Linked DNA regions of Rattus norvegicus. The protein of the gene in region 1 interacts with the protein of each later gene in a pairwise test. Links are inferred from orthologs where the notes say so. Each region holds a gene or a part of one and is shown on either strand. Other genes may lie near its edges.

What was found.
Region 2: the proteins of Atxn1 (region 1) and Psmc3 interact in binary tests that used the Homo sapiens proteins (3 or more experiments, as listed by UniProt). The link is inferred for Rattus norvegicus from reciprocal best matches to the Homo sapiens genes ATXN1 and PSMC3.

Annotation. Positions count from the first base shown.
Region 1 is NC_086035.1:19,331,654-19,335,304, forward strand, and holds part of Atxn1 (ataxin-1), read left to right. Parts: intron 1-1,649; 5' UTR 1,650-1,812; coding exon 1,813-3,651. UniProt on the Homo sapiens protein: Chromatin-binding factor that repress Notch signaling in the absence of Notch intracellular domain by acting as a CBF1 corepressor. Binds to the HEY promoter and might assist, along with NCOR2, RBPJ-mediated repression. Binds RNA in vitro.
Region 2 is NC_086021.1:97,490,601-97,493,633, forward strand, and holds the end of Psmc3 (26S proteasome regulatory subunit 6A), read left to right. Parts: intron 1-63; coding exon 64-212; intron 213-917; coding exon 918-1,014; intron 1,015-1,160; coding exon 1,161-1,306; intron 1,307-2,057; coding exon 2,058-2,139; intron 2,140-2,244; coding exon 2,245-2,355; 3' UTR 2,356-2,424; downstream 2,425-3,033.

The DNA.
Region 1 (3,651 bases):
AGGTTCCAAGCCCAGAAATGCAGCTCCTCAAATCAGAGTCTTGGATATTGCTTCCCTCTGCAGCTTCTCCCCATGGGCAACACTCCCGTCTCCTGCTGCTAGCATGCTACACACTGCTCACCTTGGCAGCCTGCCCCATGCCAGGTAGACATTGTTCACACAGGGGTGGTGACTCAGAATTCCGTGACTCCGTGAGACCAAGACGGGGATCGCTCCATAAGAGTTCCTGGCATCACTACGTGGCTGGGCTTGGACACGTGGTTGCGGTTTGTCTGGCAAATATCTCCTCTCCTGCTCATAATGAACAGGCCCCTGCCAGAGAGAAGGGGAGGAGATGGTGGGGAGAGACTATTCAGAGACGAACAAGGAAGAGAAGGCTCATGGGTAAAGCAAGCACCTAACTTTTATTAAGGAAACTTTCAAAGCCTTGGCTCTACTTCCCTCACTCATGCATGTGCTTGTTTATGCACCGTTTTTATAGACAGCGTTTCATATCGTAGCACAAGGAAGCCTCAAGTTGGTGGTCATTCTCCTGCCCCAGCCTTCAGAGTGCTAGGCTCACATGAGCCAACATGTCAGGGCTCATCTTACGTACTGTGTTTGGTTTATTAAAAAAAAAAAAAAAACAGAGTAGTTTTTGTAACTGTCTCAAAGATGTCTCAGTGTTTCCTTATAAATGACTGTACTTGGAACTCCCTGGAGACTTTATAGTGAGAAGAATTGTTTTCCAATACGGCTGCTGAGTTGGGGTACATGGGTACATTGTGGGAGGCACCGTTAGAATAGGGGGCACTACCGTAGATGAAGTGTAGCCCTGTAGCCAGGTGAAATCTTAAGAGTATTGGTTCTGTCGTTGAAGCTGAAGAAAAAACCCAAAGACTCACTGGGCATCTCCATTCCAAACGTGCTCCTTCACAAAGCCCAGCTCTTGGGGCCTCCCTGGACGAAGATAAAGTCGTGATGGGGAATTAGGTAGCAACCTTTCTGTAAAAACGATTTACAGAAATGCATCATCTACCCAAAGATAGCCTGAGCAACAGGAGATGGTGTAAGAAAAGAAAAAGTGATCACCCACCCTCTAGGAAAAGAAGAAAGGCTGGAGGAGGACGGAAGGGGCGGAGAAATGTTTGGCTGGGCTGCCTACTCTATAGTTTATTAAGAAAGCACATCTGGGCAGGAGAGATGGCTGGTGGTCAAGACAGCTGCTTACGGCTCCTGTAGGGGACCCAAGTCAGGGTCCCAGCACCTGCACTGTGAGTCACAACTGCCTGCAACTCCAGTATCAGGAGACACAGCGCCCTCTTGTGATCTCTATAGGCACTGGCACATATACATGGTGTGCATAAACTCTCCTAGGCACGCACACAAACAAATAAATCAAATAAGCAAATGTTTAAGAAAAGGACACCCTTAAACTTCGTCACTCTCTTGATTCTTACTGGCTCTTTAGACTTGGGCCATAATCTGCTTTTGCAATTCCAACTAAGAGGGTCTCCTCTTAATCTTGTTGGTAATAGTGTTTTTGTTGGTGGGTGGGTTGATTGGTTGGTGAGGTTTCTCCCCCAGAGCTGATGTTTTGATTTTTTTTCCCCCTCTCTTCTCTCTCTCCTGTCCCTATCCCCCGACTCCTGCTCTCTTCTCCTTCTCAGAATCCGGAGCTGCTACTGCCAGCCTAGAGAACCCACGGGGAGATGATTCCTCATGAAGGGCCTGGATCCCCTACAGAAATCCAATGTGACTCTCTGTTTATCAGACTAAAACCAGAGCCAGCCAGACAGTGAAACAGCCACCGTGGAGGGGGGACGGCGAAAAATGAAATCTAACCAAGAGCGGAGCAATGAATGCCTGCCTCCCAAGAAACGTGAGATCCCCGCCACCAGTCGGCCCTCCGAGGAGAAGGCCACTGCTCTGCCCAGCGACAACCACTGCGTGGAGGGTGTGGCATGGCTCCCCAGCACCCCTGGCAGCCGCGGCCACGGGGGTGGGCGGCACGGGCCAGCAGGGACTTCCGGGGAACATGGTTTACAAGGAATGGGTTTACATAAAGCACTGTCCGCAGGGCTGGATTACTCCCCACCCAGTGCCCCCAGGTCGGTCCCCACAGCCAACACGCTGCCCACCGTGTACCCTCCTCCTCAGTCAGGGACGCCGGTGTCTCCTGTGCAGTACGCCCACCTATCACATACCTTCCAGTTCATTGGGTCCTCCCAGTATAGTGGGCCTTACGCGGGCTTTATCCCTTCCCAGCTGATCTCCCCACCAGGCAACCCAGTCACCAGTGCGGTGGCCTCGGCTGCAGGGGCCACCACTCCATCACAGCGCTCCCAGCTGGAGGCATATTCCACCCTGCTGGCCAACATGGGCAGTCTGAGCCAGGCACCAGGACACAAGGTTGAGCCCCCTCCGCAGCAGCACCTCGGCAGGGCTGCGGGATTAGTCAACCCGGGGTCCCCTCCACCTACCCAGCAGAACCAGTACATTCACATTTCCAGCTCTCCACAGAGCTCCGGGCGGGCAACATCTCCACCCATCCCGGTCCACCTCCATCCCCATCAGACGATGATCCCGCACACGCTCACCCTGGGGCCTTCATCCCAGGTGGTCGTGCAATACAGTGACGCCGGAGGCCACTTTGTTCCTCGAGAGTCCACCAAAAAAGCAGAAAGCAGCAGGTTGCAGCAGGCTATGCAGGCCAAGGAGGTCCTCAATGGGGAGATGGAGAAAAGCCGGAGGTATGGGGCGTCATCTTCTGTGGAGCTGAGCCTGGGGAAGACGAGCAGCAAGTCAGTGCCTCACCCCTATGAGTCCAGGCATGTGGTGGTCCACCCGAGCCCAGCAGACTACAGCAGTCGTGATACCTCCGGGGTCCGTGGATCTGTGATGGTCCTGCCCAACAGCAGCACACCCTCAGCCGACCTGGAGACACAGCAGGCCACACATCGAGAGGCCTCCCCATCCACCCTCAATGACAAGAGCGGTTTGCACCTAGGGAAGCCCGGCCACAGGTCCTACGCGCTGTCCCCACACACGGTCATTCAGACCACACACAGCGCATCAGAGCCTCTCCCGGTGGGCCTACCAGCCACGGCCTTCTATGCTGGCGCTCAACCTCCTGTCATCGGCTATCTGAGTAGCCAGCAGCAAGCAATCACCTATGCTGGTGGTCTGCCCCAGCACCTGGTGATCCCAGGTACCCAGCCCCTGCTCATCCCAGTGGGCAGCCCTGACATGGACACACCTGGGGCAGCCTCGGCCATAGTGACGTCATCGCCCCAGTTTGCTGCAGTACCTCACACGTTTGTCACCACCGCCCTGCCCAAGAGCGAGAACTTCAACCCAGAGGCTCTGGTCACCCAGGCAGCCTACCCAGCCATGGTGCAGGCCCAGATCCACCTGCCGGTGGTACAGTCCGTGGCATCCCCTGCCGCGGCATCACCCACGCTGCCGCCATATTTCATGAAAGGCTCCATCATCCAGCTGGCCAACGGGGAGCTGAAGAAGGTAGAGGATCTGAAGACAGAGGATTTCATCCAGAGTGCAGAGATTAGCAATGACCTCAAGATCGACTCCAGTACTGTGGAGAGGATCGAGGACAGCCACAGCCCCGGTGTGGCCGTGATACAATTTGCTGTTGGTGAACACCGAGCCCAG
Region 2 (3,033 bases), on another chromosome or scaffold:
GAAACAGGCTTGAAGACTTTTTGAGCCTCGTGTGCCTTTGATCTGATCTGTCCCTTCTCTCAGGCCACCTTCTTGAAGCTGGCAGGCCCTCAGCTGGTGCAGATGTTTATTGGAGATGGCGCCAAGCTGGTCCGTGATGCTTTTGCCCTGGCCAAGGAGAAGGCACCATCTATTATCTTTATAGATGAGTTGGATGCCATTGGCACCAAGCGGTAAGGGAGTTCCGGGGACTTGCAAGGGTTGTTGGGGTGAGGTGTGAGCTAGGAGCTCACCTCCCAGCTATGTTACATCCCAGTTCTCTCCCATTCGGTCCCTCCCCTGGTTAGTAACACTTCTGTTTTTCTGCCTCCTAAATTCCTCATAGCTGACAGCTTGCTCTCAAGAGAGAAAACTGGCACCTCTCGTTTCAAAGTCTGTCATCACACACTACTAAAAAGCACCTCTAGGCCACCCTATTGCTTCTTAGCACAAATGCTAGATCTGTATAGCCTGTTCTTTCAGTCTCACTCTACCCACTCCCAACCCAGGCCGCCTCCCAGTACCCGATTGGTTTTCAGCTCTTTCTATTCACTGAGTGGTTGCCTGGCCCTTGTTTATAGACTCAAGAACCCCTGCTTGGGGTTGGCTGTCTGGGTTCCTGGTTGTAGATATTTCTGGGTAAGTTCTGGGGATCATGTATTGCTCAGAGCCACAGCCCTAGCCTGGCTGTTTGTGCTCACTGTTTGTCACTAGCCCAGCACTGATCCCAGAAGCCTCTGCAAGCTTTGAATGCTGCAGTTAATTATTGGTGACCCTTTCTCTGTACCAGTCCCTGGGCTGGGAGCCTCAAGTTGAGGCAACCATTTCCCTGGACAAGTTGGAATAGCCTGTGCTTATGCCGTGGTGTCACTGGCATCTCGGGCTCCTGTGCACCGCAGCTTCGACAGTGAAAAGGCAGGGGACCGAGAGGTGCAGAGGACCATGCTAGAGCTCCTGAACCAGCTGGATGGCTTCCAGCCCAACACCCAAGTGAAGGTGAGTGCAGGGCTGACTCCATCGGCTTAGGTACTGACAGCTCGGGCTCTCCTTCTCCCCGGGCTGCCTCCTGTTGCTGCTGTGATGTGTGCTTGTGTTGGATGTCCTGCTCCTCAGTTCAGGTTGCTGCTTCCCCTCTTCCTTAGGTAATTGCAGCCACTAACAGGGTGGACATCCTGGACCCTGCCCTGCTCCGCTCAGGACGCCTAGACCGCAAGATTGAGTTTCCAATGCCCAATGAGGAGGCCCGAGCCAGAATTATGCAGATCCACTCACGGAAGATGAACGTCAGGTCAGCTGCAACAGCTTTTTCAGCCTTCAATTTTCATGACTCTGTACTGTTAGTTCCCGGCCTCCGATCCCCCACCCCCATGCATGCACACAGCCTCCATTTCTGCCCATTGCCTGAGGTAGAGTTTTGCTGGGGCTCAGACCCTCCTGGGTGCTGTGGTACTCAAAGTCACCTGTGCCCCATCCTCCCATTGAAGACACATAGGCCTTCGCAGCCCAGTAGATGGACACAGCCCAAGCATGGCTTAGGAGCATGTAACCAGGACCAGATAGATGATCTGAACTCAGATCTATACAACTTTCAGCACGTGACCTGTGTTTTGTTTTTGAAAGTTGAGGATAAATCATTCCAGTTTGAGATTTAGCCATGGTGATGTCTTAGGCACAGTGCTTGGCACATGAGGGCAGATGATGGGCAGCTGCATTGTGCTGGCTGATGCATGGCTTCATCAGGAATCATACTGTCTTTTGTCTATATAACCCCATGTTCCCAGCCTCAGGCAAACCTGCTTCCTGGGATCTCAGATGCAGGGTTCTAGAAGGCTGGTTTATGTATAGATCCTATACATAGGATCTCATTTACCTTTGGCTCCTTTCTTCTCTTTATACTAGAAGAAAAGTCAGGGTGGATAAAGACTTGCCTGCCAGCAGAAGCAAGTTGATTTTATTGTTTCATGGGTGCATAGGACTCCTTCCCTTTGCTGTTCGCTCTCCATGACTAATCAAGCTCTGGTGTCTTGTCCTTTCTCCAGTCCTGATGTGAACTATGAAGAGCTGGCTCGCTGCACTGATGACTTCAATGGGGCCCAGTGCAAGGCCGTGTGTGTGGAGGCGGTGAGTGCTCAGGGTGGGTGGGTGGGCTGAGTCAAGCCTTGCCCTTTCCCTGGGTAGCTCAGGGGTGCAGGGAGGCATTCTGGATCATATCTGTCCTGGCTGCAGGGTATGATCGCACTGCGCAGGGGTGCCACGGAGCTCACTCACGAGGACTACATGGAGGGCATCCTGGAGGTGCAGGCCAAGAAGAAAGCCAACCTGCAGTACTATGCCTAGGGACACCTCTAGTCTGTCTGCTGGTCCGGGGGCTACGGTTGATAATAAAGGGGGTTTTTGTTCTTTGCCACCAGTCTCTCTCAGCCTCCGTGGACTCTGGGTGGGGGCAGAATATATGAGAAGGCCTTTTCCTCGGGAGCTACAGCCTCAAAAATCCTGTAGGTGGCCATGGGGGGTGGCTGTCTGGATAAGGCCCTATGGCAGGGAGGTGCAGGGCACAGCTGTTGCCTGAGTCCTCCCCAGTCCCTCCTCCCACAGTCTCCTTCCGTCTCTCTCCACTGTTCATTGCTATAGCTCTGACCTACTTTGAGTCAAGAAGGAAGGGCCCATTTCGCATTGGTACTCCAGTTCTTACTGTCTTCTGAAACCAACATTTAGGGTTTTAGGTTTTTTTTTTTTTAAGATTTATTTATTATATATAAGTACACTGTTGCTGTCTTCAGACACACCAGAAGAGAGCGTCAGATCTCATTACAGATGGTTGTGAGCCACCATGTGGGTTCTGGAAATTGAACTCAGGACCTCAGGAAGAGCAGTCAGTGCTCTTAACCGCTGAGCCATCTCTCCAGCCCTAGGGTTTTAGTTCTTGACTAATGCCCCAATGTCCTGGCTTTTGGACCACATGTTTTTCCATGACTTTATTCATCCTTCTCATTTTTTCTGGCTCACAAAATAACC